Kluyveromyces lactis: one gene and its partners. The protein of the gene in region 1 interacts with the protein of each later gene in a pairwise test. Links are inferred from orthologs where the notes say so. Each region holds a gene or a part of one and is shown on either strand. Other genes may lie near its edges. The genes, in order: PEX10, PEX2 and PEX13.

Region 1 (4,434 bases):
AAGAAACTTATGAGCATTTGGATAAGAAGGCCAAATTGGAATTCAAGAACGAGAAATTGGGGATACGGTTTACCAGCAAAAATGTTATGAATGATGCTATGAATCTTTTGAAATACGTCTCACCGTTTGGAGATGCCAATAAAGATTTTGGATCGTTTAAGAAGTTGAACGAATTCTTGAGACAAGAACATAATAAGACAATATGTATGATTTGTGCTGGGCATAAAAAAGCGTTCCCCGGCGAGTTAAAAGTTATGACTGTTAAGCAATTAAAGATACACGAAAGTCGTGGCGACCCTAAGGATGGATTTAAAGGCCATCCTATGTGTGGATTTTGCTCTGGTAAAAGGTTCTACTCTGACGATGAGCTTTATAAGCACATGAAACTTTCCCATGAAAGATGTCATATCTGTGATCAACTAGACCCATCACAACCGCAATATTTCAAAAACTATGAGGACTTATTCGAACATTTCAAATCAGCCCATTACGTATGCACGGTACCGTCCTGCCTCGATGCCAAATTTGTCGTCTTCAGTGATGAGTTGGACTTAAGAGCACATATCATCAAAGAACATCCTCATCTTGCAGGTGATAGCAGAAGAGCTATGACGTTGATAGATAATACCTCAAAGAAGTTCAGATCACAAATTACTACGTTCTCCAATCCAACAAGAATTATAGATGCACAGAATGAGGAATCAAATTCTGCAAACTCAAGAGATGTCAAAAGGAGGAGAATGGAACAAAGAGCAAGACATTACCTTGGGAACTCTGAACCAGACTTCCAGTCCTTCTTAATCATCAATGACCTATTTAACAAAAACGAAATTTCTGCTCAAGAGCTTCAATCCAAATATGAAGACTTGTTTAAGCAACACGCGGATGATATACAATTACTAATTTACGATTTATCGGAGTTATATCATTCAACTTCGGATAAACACAAAAGATTGCGTGCTATATACGAAGGCATTATGAAGAAGAAAGAGAATGCAGGGAAATTCAAACCTCTCGTCGCCGATTCATCATCTTCGGTTAACGTAGTTTATGGTAAATGGGGTAAAAAGAGTTCTTCTGGTGTTGGCGGGTCGAACGTGAAGTTCACGTCTCTACCAGCTGTATCCGAACCTATATTCTCCTCCAAAGCCTCGTATACTAATTTGCGGAAAAATGGCTCTTCTTCACCGTCCTCTCCAGTTATTAGGAGCGGTTTGACTTCCAATTCATCGTCATCAACTTCTTTAAACTATGCGAAGAAGAATCAATCACCGCCAGGTTCTTCAACCGTTGTAGTGAATTCACAACCGAATGTGACAGCTATCAAATCACCTAATCCAACCAGCTTCCCCAAGTTACAAGCTACTAAGAAAAAATTTGTTGCACCTCCAGTGAAACAGACTACCATACCAAACCCATCCACTTGGGGTAAGCCTCAAAACGACAACGATTCTATCAACTTGGATTCGTTAGACAATGCATTACCAGCTAGTGGTAGTAAGAAAAAGAGCAAACAAAAACAACTACTGTTCCATATTGGCATATAGATTTAACCCCGTTATATACAGCAGATTGTTTTAATAATACAAGAAAGCTCGCTGAAACATTTAGATATTCTTCTAAGCTTTATCTAACAGGTATCGTCAGCTGTCTCGGACACCTTTGCCTGCATAATGGACACTCCTGTCTTTCTAACGTCCATTCCATGATACAATCCCAGCAGAAAAGGTGACCACACGGAGTCGCGCTGGGATCCAGCATATAGTTAAGACATAAAACACACTTACGTGAATCCTCTTTGATGAAAGGTAGGACTTCTAGATCGCTAAGATCTTTTGAGGTGTGTTTTTTAGCTAATGCACTTAAACTCTTGTGGCTCTTCCCATCATCTGTTCCAATTCTGTCAGCGATGTATTCTGCAATCTGCGGTAAAAGCTTAGAAGCTAATTGCATACCAAGTATAAAACCAAGAATCTTGTAGTTTTGCGATGACTTCTTCTTGAATTCTACCTCATTCTTGTTCATTTCATGGCCAACCACATATCTCATTCCAAATATTCTCTTTGAGATATCATAATACTGTCCGCTCAAGTAGAATATAATTAAGTGCAAATTCAAAGTGGAATCCAAGATGTCCCTGAAACTCTTGCCATTGAATACTTTCAAGAAACCAGATCCCCTCTCATTGAGCTTATACTTGTAGAATACTTTCGATAATATCCACGGTACCCCACAATAACTGATAGCGAAACCAATCCTTCGCAGGAGTCTCGCAACACCTTTTCCTCGCCTATCAACATACGCCAAATCAACGTACTCTTCTCCAAGCGTTCTCCTATACCTTAGTGTTGTAATTGACAAGTATATCAACTTGCTGAGGATCATTATCTCACTAACATACCTGTTAGTGAACTGTTGTCCCTTAACTTTCCGTAGTACATCCTGGATCTTTTGTAACAGCAAGTTTTCCACAGTATCATCCTTTTGATGCGCCTGAACTATACTAGGTGCATCAGCAAATGGGAACTTCATGTCTGGTGCCATTGCTTGTCTCTCGTCAGTTTGTGTTCTTATTCGTTTTTGAAGATGTTAGATGGTTGAAATTGATCAATTGGAGAAATGAAGTTTTATTTGATTAATCATAGGGTTCGAAACCAGAGATAACTAAACCCGATCTAACATACAGTTGTTTGGGCTGGTACCGATAGTTCAATTCTGTGAATTTATTCTTTTTGTAATTCAATAAAGATATCAACGCTATGAATAAAGTTTGGGATAGAATTGTTGGCAGTGATAGTGCCGATGCTCAAAGTGTATTGAAAGAAAGATGTTCATCTCCGAAGGACGTGACGGATTTGTTGCACGTTATTCAAAACTGGACCTCAGAGATACATAACAATGGCGAGGAAACACGATGCTGGAAGTGTGTGCCGATGCTTGCCGGTTATGTGAAGGATTGGGGTCAATTGGAGTTTCTTTGCAGAAGAATACTTTTAAGAAGTAGCATACAAGAGATACGGCCATTACTTCTTGTAACGATGAAATCGTTGATGTCCAACCATTCAGATAATACGGAGCAGAAGTGTGGGAATATACTACAACAATTGTTAATTGAAGCCGAGGAAGATTCTGGCAATGTTTCTTTACGTTTGCTTGTAGATGCTATGTCTTTGGTGTTCCCTATCTGCCTTGGCGTTTGTAGAGACATGTTTCTTTCGACAGATTTCCAGGACATATTGACTAGGAATTTGAATTCTTCAGCGGATGATGAACATCTTGTAAACGGGGCTCTTCGTCTCTTGGCTGTTTCCTGTATTGACGAAGCAGTCAGAAGATTCATTGCAGAGCATTACCTTAAGACGTTACAACAATCATTTAAGGTCGAGAAGTATAAAGTACTGACTGCGTTGGTTTTGATCAAGATCTGGTCATTCACTAAGATAGAAAAGGAAACTCTTAACTCTTGCATCAACCTTTTCATCGACTCGCTTTCGAATGGCGAAAATATCGAGATTAATACTGAAGCTTTAGCTTACTTGACATTGAAGCCCTCTGTCAGAGTCTTGCTACGAGGTAACGGTGATGTATGTTTGAAAATAATCGAGCTGATCAAGTCACAGGACACTACACCGACTGATCTATACGGACTCTTGATTATATTAGCAAACGTAAGTGAGCACCCGTCACAGAATGAGGATACAGTCGATAAATTAAAAGCTTCATTGAAAACCAACCAAGAAAAGAATGACGAGCCGACATTGGAAAATGTTAAGGACATAGAAGAGTTTAACCGTGATTATATTATCGATTTAGACTTGATCGGTTCTTTAAAATCGATAAAACTATCCACCTCATCTTACAATCAAGCCATAAGAATCATATATAATGTGACAAGAGATAAAACACAGATATCAGAATGTGTGAAACAGGGTGCTGGATTGATGCTCTTGGTATTTTTAGCACAAAAAAGGAACCTTTCTAAAGATGAATGGTATCTTCTATCGATAAGAGCACTATCGAAAACACTCATCTATGTGAATCCAGAGACTGCGTTCAGCAAATATTCACCGTTGAGCGCAGCACCGTTCTTATTTGAAAATTTACCTTTACCAAATGACAACGCTTTATCGGAACTTCAATTCACACAATTAGATACTTACGAAGCATTATTAGCGTTGACAAATTTGGCTACTATAAACCAGGGAGTAGATCTCGGCAAAATCATCTTGAGTAATGCTCAGTATTGGGATAGTATAGAGAATCTCTTATTGGATTCATCGGTCAGAATTCAAAGATCGACATTAGAACTTATTTCCAATTTAATGTCCAATCCAATGGCTATCTCTGCAAAGTTCTTCTGCTTTGAAAACCCTAAGAGTGCACAGAATTTCGAAATACTGGTCAAGCTTCTCGAACTTCACGATATACAATCTC
Region 2 (4,277 bases), on another chromosome or scaffold:
TGAGGAGAACACTAATAATGTCCATTTATTTTCAGTCATCTCTGATCGTTGAATTGACAGATCGATAATTGAGAAAGCGACATCGAGGTTGAGTTTCCATGAACTATCCTTTGTGGTTTACACTTGAATTCAATCAATTGCAACAATGGATCTCCCTTGAAAATAGCGAATTTTTCCTGCAAGGTGTACAATTTGGGACAATGGAATTTGAAGTCGGAAGAATAATATAGTTTAGCAAATGCAGGTCTTAAGTCATTGGACAACGAGGATCCCGTACACTGCATTTGTAATGGTAGACACGAGGACGGTAGAGAGAACTGCGTAACTTTTGAGCTGAAATATGCTGGTCCGTATAAAATCACGTTTGTGAACAACCACAGTTGATTAACCTGGTAATTGGATTGGTTCGAGCAAACGTGATCATAAAACTCCAAATAATCAAAATTTGGGATATCAAAGTAAAAGTTGATGATAGAAATCAAATAAAGGGAACCCTCTTTAGATGAAAGTAACTGACTTGCATTATTAAAAGGTGGCAGACGTTCACTCGGAAGCAAAGATTTGACAATGAACATAAATTCGAACAAGACTTCTTCCAAATCAAATAAATCTATTTCAAAGTTATTGATAAGGAGCGAGCTATGTTTTAGCATCAACCTGATGAAGAAATCATCAGATACTTTTATAATCCTACTGGGTACCACGCCAGCGAGAGACTTTTGGATGGACACCCACGTGACCTGCTCGTTTTGGTGTTGGTGCTGAGATTGATTATTCCTGTTAGTAGTTGTAGAAGCGCGATGACAACCAGCGTCATCGTTACCAAGCTCAATAATGCTGGAGGAACCAAATCTATAAGCATTTTCCTCGTTTTGATCATCAATGGACGTTGAGGATACAACTGAACTTTTTAACAACCGTTCGACACTTCCCTTGACACATGAGACACTGTGATGAAGCTTTTTAAGTTCATCAGACCGACGCGGTGGTACGACGTAATCCAGCGTACACACCAAACCACGTTTCGAACAGGCAGTGCAAGGACCGGGTCTTGTGTTTGCAGAATCACATTTTACCTTGTTCTTTCTGCATCTGGTACAAGACCGCAACGGTTTGAGCATTTTTAATGTTAGGAAAAAAAAATTTGGGGCACGCAGAGGTACGAACGGATGGTAGCCAGTATCTGCCAGCGGCACTCAGAGAACTAATGGGATGAAATCTGCGCGTTATCCCAACAACCACTGGCAAGTGCCCGCGTATATCTATACATACACTTACATTCACATCCATATATATATATATATATATATATATTTATGTACATATAGATGGCTTGATATCGAAAAGCAAATGTAATTAAAGCATTATAAAGTAACTCATCTCCTAGAATTAGCTTTAACCGAGGAAAAACTCTGGAGTTTCGAACTTCAAAATAACAGGAGATTAAAAAAACTGCCAGAAAGTCCTAATGGCCCTTAAGGTGGGCTCTCAGTAATTCCCCGTTGATGACACTAGCAGGCAAAAAAACAAACAAACAAAGAACCAGGCTCTGAACCGAACCCTTCTGCGATTGACGGAACCAGTCCATAACCCTGTGTGTCCGATATTTTTTTGTGGTATATTACCGGTGCGGTATGTAAAAGCATCCCCGTATAATAAGCTGCTTCCCAATATTGACCGAAAAGGCTCACTTGACAAAAACGGATGTTGTAGACTATTCGGTGTATATCACATAAGCTCAGGTAAGCTGCGCTGCGGCGTTTAGACACACTTTAATAGATCAAAACGTGAAGCCTACGGCCCAAAAAAGTATTGTAGCATTTTCTGCTGCATTCTCCTTGTTTGATTGACTGTGCTTTTTTTGCTTGCAGATTTTTCTCTAACTCCGCGGTAGAAGCTCTCAGTCAGATACGTACGAAACGAATAACTGAATAGCCTTTGGCATAAAAGTACCGAGTACAAAGAGCAAAAAAAATGCCCTCGAAGTAAGGATAAACTGGAGGCCATCCAAACAACGGGGAATATAATTTCGGAGTTATCGCAGCCCTGGTCTCATAGTTCCTGGTATCCATACTGTCCGATTGTATTACAGTGAGACATCTATCTATATCAAGAGAGATAGGTACTGTGTTTTATTATCTGGAAGTCACGCTGCTGCTTTATTATTTTGCAATTTGTACCGGTGAAATATTTCATTGCTAACACTAAGTAACGAAGGGTAGTGAGTGTTTTAAGCGCAATACGTTATCTGTCGATCCGAATATGTCAAGGGTTGCTCAATTAGATGGAGTTTCACTTGATCTGCAGCTCACCAGGGCACTTCAATCGGATTTGGGTTTTCCTTGTCCGCAGATAGTTGTTGAAATTCTGGTATTCTTACTTGGGAGTAGGCGATGGCATCAGGGTAGTGTCGCAACATATGGTAGTGTTCTCACTGGTGTTGGCTATCAATGCTCTCGTTGGCGGTTATTTGCTGTTACCGTGGTATTAAGACATCTGTTGCATCGGTTTGAAAGGACCAATTTGGTTTACGAACTTTTAGATTTGATCCATCTTTTACAATTTTTAACGTCGGGTACAGGTGGTCCCTCTCTTTTGCATCGATTGTTCCGAGTCCCTGCAGTGTTCCAACCGGGATTCTCGTATTCTGATACTACTTCAGGATCATCAGCATCTGAGGTTCAGATGCTCTGGAATGCTTCCATTGAGATGATAGCTGGTCTATCGTTATTTAAAAACGGATTCGTTTCTGTGACAAGTACTAACGCAGCTGCGGTGGCAGCTGCAAAGGCTATTGCCGGTGGTAGTTCTTCAGTTGGGGCCCCTGGTGAGAAGTTTTCGCAAAAGAATACTTTATGCCCTGTTTGTGGTGAGGTCGCTACAAATGCATTTACAATCACTTGCTGCAATACAAGGTATTGCTACACTTGTGCGTTGGAAGTGGAACAGTCACATTGCCTAGTTTGTAATACTAAGAACCCAAAATTCTTTTGCTAAAGTGTTTATTATACCCTATATATTCACACCTAGGCCAAATCTATATACGTTATTACTTCCCAGGCAATGCTAAAACAGTATTATTAAACTCTCTTACAGTTATTTCGCACCGCACTTGTTTACACAACTCCTTCTTCTTCTCCTTTGGAACATTCTGCAACAGCTGCAGGCCGGAACTCCTTTCTAATGCATTGACGGGTACTTCAAACTCTATTAATGTTGTAGAGTTCGAAATAGGAGCATTTGGTAAGACAAATGCGGCAACGTGCAGCTCATCATCACGACCATTTCCAAGCTGCTTAGGTCTTTCAGCCACGACCAACTTGAAAAAATGCGTTGGGACTGCAATGTTAGGTGGATTTCCAATCATCTCGTATGTGACTTTGAACTTACCGTCTTTGGGGTCTCGCTTCGGCAAGTATAAGGGACCTGTCATAATTCGAACACTGTTGTATTTATCGACTAATTGTCTGCAGAAATACTCCAAATGTGCCCAGTAATCTCTATTGAAACCTTCACCCACTTGAGGGCACATATTAGTCAAATAGAAAGTATCGTCCATTGCCTGTTGGGAGAACTTCGCGTTCGCCGCAGGGGCTTGATGTCCTCTATCGTAACCGGATCTGAAATAATCCTTTAGTCGACCGCGGAACATCTCTGGAATCTGCTCGTCTTCCTTGAATATAGAGTTCTTCCTATCAGCACCCTTTGTCTTTAAGGATTCTGGTGTAATGTGCTCAAGTACCCAGTATGGGTTCCTTGTTCTCCTATCATAGCACGAGATGAACTCTTGTCTTGTTTCCAGATCATGAATTGGCCCAGGGAATCCGTACTTGAAGAATGCACCAGGATCAACGTTACTTCCAACTAACGAGACGCGACCAGCTTGGTTTGAGGAACTGGGATCTGATGGAATGTTATTGCTACTACCAGTGGATCCCGGGAATGAGGTACCAGAGTTTCCGCCAGATAGTGCACTAGATTTCCCCCAAAAGTACGACACGGTACCAACACCGACTAACGCACTAAAAGCGTTTCTTGAAAAGCTCATGGCCGGTCTATTTCCTCAGCACCAAGCGATTCAAATTACTTGACAATTAAATGATATTCTGGTGATTGCAGCTTCTGGGATGACACTCTTGTATTATTTTAGGCTGGAATGCATTACGAGAATTTTTTTTTTTTTTTTTTCACTCCGGACAGTATAATGAATAAGGGCTTAGGTCAACAATAAGTGCATGAGTTGAATATTTAGTAGCGTTTGCTAGTAGTAATGCTGC
Region 3 (4,966 bases), about 280 kb from region 1:
CAGTATTCGTGGCAGTTAATATTCTCTGTGGGATTCAATCTGTACTGGTATTTGTGGGATAGGATCCCCAGACTCAGGGAGGGTTTGAATGTGTACTTGATATAGGTTATGTAATATTATCAGCAATCGGATCATAATGATGAGACCCCGATGATTAAATGGATCGATGTCCTTGGGCATTTCATGGAGGTTCAAATTGCGTCAACTCATAATGCTGCTCAGAAAGAATCTGTCGAGTTCTATTAGGGATGGAATACGTATTTCTGCTACAAAAGCAAGTTACCATCTCTCCAGTACTATTGTCGATAGATATTGTACCATTTAGTAGCAAACCTTAACATGTTGAAAAACAGATGATACAAATCCAGATATATGATACATACTAGTATGTATATATATATAGGGCATGGTCGAAAGAATAATGCCTCTTCTAGGATTAGACACCTTTAAATACACCATTATCAAATTCAGATACGAATCAATCAAGCCCGTGATCGATTAACGCAACGAGAGAGCAACACTACTATACCCACATATTCCTATTTTCAAAATGATGATTTCAAAGACTATTTACAGAGGTTCCAGAGTCCCAGCTGCCTCTAGATTATTCACAAATTCTCCTATGGCTCGTTCTATTCACAATTCTAACATTGATTCTAAAGGTATCAAAGAAACTTTAGAAGACGTTAACAAGAAAGTTGGTAAAGCTGCAGCTGAAGGTATTGAGAAGACCGAAGAAGCAACTCATCACTTGGGTGAAAATTTCCAAAATGTTGAAGAAAAAGTGAAAGGGATATTCAATATGACAGGGCAGGATGCCAAGGAAGCTGCTGACACGGCTTCAAACAAGGCCAGCGATCTTGCAGAGAAAGGTAAGGAACACGCCCAAGCCAAAGGTAGAGAGGCTGCTGCCAAGGGTAAGGAAGCCGCTGCCAAGGGTAAAGAAAAACTGGAAAATGCTGCTGACAAACTAAACGAATAAAAATAAGGAATGAGATGATGATAAAGTCCGGAATGTCGATGTCCTCTTTTCCCAATAAACCAAATTACCTGATCCTTTAAGCAGCAGGGTGACAATAAACGCCCTTGTGCTAATATTCTAGCATTCCAAATGCCGTATCTGGGGTTCGAGCAATGGAATAATAAATGTGTAGTAACCACAAATACATATATAACGTGAAACAAGAGAAAAATACAACGTAATTCTTCTTAATACTTAGTCTGAAACTTTCTGAAGCTATCACATCTTTAACTTAGCATTTGTGACCCGCCATATTCAATTCTTGTCCATCACCATGTAATCACTGTTGATTCTGTAATAGATGGTCTACCGAGGTTGAATCCGCCAGTTCTTCAGAAGTATTCGATTTCTCAGATTCAACAGGTACGCCATTTTTCCTTTTCTTAATCAACTCAAGATAGTTGTATGGAACGTACCCAATATTTCCTTGTTTTGTTCTGACTTTCCACCATTCAGAGTTATTTCCTAGTGGATCTTTCTTGGAAATGATTGCCATTAGATCTCCTTTCTTTAAGTTACATTCAATTCTTGGATTCTCAGGAACGAAATCATAGATCGCTCTTGCAAATTCTAGGTTATTAGGATCTAAGATTTGTTGTGCCATAGCGCCGCCAGCTATTTTGGCTTTTTGGTGCTGTTGTAATTTCTGAATAAATTTGTTCAAAAGGTACGGGAAGCCGAACACAGCTGCTAAAAACACAATCAATGGTTTCCATGAAATTCTTCTACCCTTTTTCTTCGTCAGATCTGAGTCCCTGAATTCTTCGATAAATTGTTTTGAAAGATCTGAGCCCTGGCTCTTTCCGCCCTCTATCCCTAAGCGCTTTTTGGAAGGCGCTACTCCCATCTTACCACCTGTAACTCTGTACAAGATCTTTTTTACGAATTTTATCAAGGCAAATATACCAAAGAATGATCCCAAAAGCTCCTTCATATATTGAAACTGTTCCGCAACGGTTATCATAGTGAAAAAAGAGTTATGGGTAGCCATATATGTAGCTTCTAACATCTGGGCGAAACCAGCAACGGCTCCTATAAGCCCTTCTATTAACTGGAAAGTTGCCTGTGTTGACTCTGCAATCCCCGAGGGTCCTCCATTCATACCGTTCATACCGTTCATCCCATACATTGATCCGAACCCTCCCCCATACATCGACCCTAAACCACCGCCGTACATCGACCCTAAACCACCACCATACATAGAGCCATAACCACCTCCGTACATGGATCCATATCCACCACCCATGGAACCCATTCCATATCCTGTACCTAAACCTCCACCATACGCCGAACCATATCCAGACATACCATTTCGAAGAGGGTTTCCCCCGTTCAAAGAATCCATACCCTCATTTAAACCGTTCGGTTTGGATGGTAAGTCAGGCTGATTACCAGATGGTTGCAACGCACTGCTATTCTCAGTAAAACTGGCATCAGTTCCTAAACTCTCAACTCCATTTTTCTGCTCCCAGGGCTTCGGTCTGGAAACACCTGCCGATTGTGACATGACTACTGATGCTCTAATAAATATGAACTTCGATCACAGCACTTAATAGAAGCCAAAACCGCTACAATCGATGTGTATTCATCACTGTCGTTACCTGTATTTAAGCTCCACGACATGATTCAATGTTACTTTTAGAATCATCGTCAATCTTTGAAATATGCTTTGGCCGGGTAACAAGTTACTATTTCCTGCGTCGTGACTTAAAGACAATAGTAGATATCGTCTTTTCATCAGCAATAGACGATATCTTTTCCACGAAGAACCGTTGGATACTTGAATGAAAATCCTTATTTCCTTCTTTTAAATATTTTGTATTTAAATTGGTTCCGAATGACACGCATATTATGTATATATGTATCCTTGTTATTATTGAAAGAATGTATAAAAGTTCGAAATGAAGCAGCTGCAATGTGAGTTGAATGTATCTACTACAAAGCTTTATCAGCAGCATTGGATAGTTGTAAATATTGAATCGAAAATGTTGTCCGTATTATGCTTGAAAAAAATTTGTAATTATCTTATGAAAAGTCCTTCTTGTGTTTGCTTTCTTCTAAAGAAGTTAATTGTATGCGTAAATTGAAACCATGCTGTAGTCTCGTTGGATTAATACTCCCCGATAATACCTCGCCTTCGTCACAATCTAATGTCGTAGTACTGTTATGAGCGGTAGTGTTGTCGGGATCGCTGATATGTAAACTAGATTCATCTGGCTTACTCTCCGATTTGGATTCAGCCAGCGCGTCGAGTTGTTCAACTGTTAAGTACTTTACCCTGTTTTTCCTTGGGCTCAGTCTGGATTCCAAAGCCTTCTGAATTCTTCTGCATTTAGCTAATTCTTTCTCTAGCTCTTTTATCTTTCCTTCAACAGCGATCTTTACTAGTGCATCTGATTTGAATGGTGGTTTATTCGATATATTCTCCCGTGACCTGTCTGAATTGTGAATTATGAAGTCTGTATTTGATATTCTTGGTAATTGTTGTATATGCTGTAATAACGAGCTGCTTTGGAAGGTCAAGGACTCATTTGCTCTCGTTAAACTATTGTTGATATCTTTTAAATTCTCGTTATCCAAATGCAATTTATCGTTATCCAGTTTCAACTCATCAATCTTCAGTTGAAGTTTCTTGATTGTCAGATCTAGTCTTTCTTTGTCGAAATGATGATCGTCAGGATATTGGAAATCATCTTTATTATTCAGCCACAGCTGTTCGTCATTCATGAAATTTGATAGTATACTATTTCTTTTGTTATTGACAGCCCCATTGTTATCATTTAATCCATTTTGTACCTCCTCATCAGCTAGCATTTGAAGTTCAAGATCAAGTGTTACAGTCGGTGAACTTGAAGTATATGAATCTGAGGATGGGAACCTATCACCTATTTTTGGAGGTTCTAGCTCAACGTATTTTGTGGTATTACTTAACTGGGATGTACTAGACATTCCTCTTCTATGCCCAAGAGCAGGTTTGCCATTGGACCCACGATTTAAGTTATCATTTCCATTGGCATTCATTTTTGTGCCAACTATTGGAACATTTTTTATCACTTGATTACTGTTGTTGTTCTTCAAAAGGTATTCTTTCTTGTACATCTTAGGCGGTTGCACTTTCACAGGACCAGGTATTGGAGATATCCTAATTGGAGAAGTAGATCTTAGCATTGATGAAATAGGAGTGGGATTGGTATCTCCTCCAATTGAGTTCGACCTAGACCTAGACCTTGGACCTATCGGTATCACGTTTGCCATACTATTATTGTAATCCAGTTGCTTGTCCATAATTTTTGACAAAGATGTCCTAAGTCGTTTGGGGTAGGCACCGTTATCGTCTAGATAAATCGATGAGCCATGAGCAATCATTGTATCATCAATGCCACCTCCGAGCATCTTCTTTTTGTTTCTGTTTTATATTGGATGAAGTTTGCACTCCCGTACGCTATTGTGCCTATCTCTAATTTGCGGTTTACTGTGCTCTAAGTTAGACCTCTAGAGGTAAACTTTGCAAAAAGCTTCTTGTTAAGAGAAATTTTACAGTAGGGGATACTCTTTTTGTCTCTTTATTCCAACCCTAAATGAATCTCAACTTGTTTTGCTGAATGATGTTATGAAAGGCTGATGCTCCACTGACACAAGGGTTCGACTATAAAGCTAGCAAGTATTCGGTGCTTTCCTCACTTTGTCAAGTTTCAAATACCCTTTACCTTCCCCAACAGAATATTAACGGAATGTAACTTCGCACAAAACTCCTTTTCCAACAACGCAGGTGCTCTCTTTGAGAAAAGGAAGTGCCTTTTGTCGACCAGTTTTCCTCTCTTACCAGTAGGATGTCAAAACTCTCCGCCAAGAGACTTTACGAGTGATTTCGATGAAGGCAGAGAATAACTAAACTTAAGAAAATCACCTCGTATAACAATAGTTGAAATACTTTTGTTAAGCTCA

What was found.
Region 2: the proteins of PEX10 (region 1) and PEX2 interact in binary tests that used the Saccharomyces cerevisiae proteins (3 or more experiments, as listed by UniProt). The link is inferred for Kluyveromyces lactis from reciprocal best matches to the Saccharomyces cerevisiae genes PEX10 and PEX2.
Region 3: the proteins of PEX10 (region 1) and PEX13 interact in binary tests that used the Saccharomyces cerevisiae proteins (3 or more experiments, as listed by UniProt). The link is inferred for Kluyveromyces lactis from reciprocal best matches to the Saccharomyces cerevisiae genes PEX10 and PEX13.

The regions. Positions count from the first base shown.
Region 1 is NC_006041.1:1,479,746-1,484,179, forward strand, and holds PEX10 (ubiquitin-protein ligase peroxin 10), read right to left. Parts: upstream 2,545-4,434; coding exon 1,627-2,544; downstream 1-1,626. Other genes in the region: E3 ubiquitin-protein ligase HEL2, read left to right, coding at 1-1,547; SHE4 (She4p), read left to right, coding at 2,760-4,434. UniProt on the Saccharomyces cerevisiae protein: E3 ubiquitin-protein ligase component of a retrotranslocation channel required for peroxisome organization by mediating export of the PEX5 receptor from peroxisomes to the cytosol, thereby promoting PEX5 recycling.
Region 2 is NC_006040.1:36,242-40,518, forward strand, and holds PEX2 (ubiquitin-protein ligase peroxin 2), read left to right. Parts: upstream 1-2,262; coding exon 2,263-2,997; downstream 2,998-4,277. Other genes in the region: KLLA0_D00396g (Zn(II)2Cys6 transcription factor domain-containing protein), read right to left, coding at 36-1,121; NUC1 (ribonuclease), read right to left, coding at 3,050-4,048. UniProt on the Saccharomyces cerevisiae protein: E3 ubiquitin-protein ligase component of a retrotranslocation channel required for peroxisome organization by mediating export of the PEX5 receptor from peroxisomes to the cytosol, thereby promoting PEX5 recycling.
Region 3 is NC_006041.1:1,755,381-1,760,346, forward strand, and holds PEX13 (peroxin PEX13), read right to left. Parts: upstream 2,529-4,966; coding exon 1,302-2,528; downstream 1-1,301. Other genes in the region: KLLA0_E19713g (uncharacterized protein), read left to right, coding at 551-982; MMR1 (Mmr1p), read right to left, coding at 3,047-4,414. UniProt on the Saccharomyces cerevisiae protein: Component of the PEX13-PEX14 docking complex, a translocon channel that specifically mediates the import of peroxisomal cargo proteins bound to PEX5 or PEX21 receptors.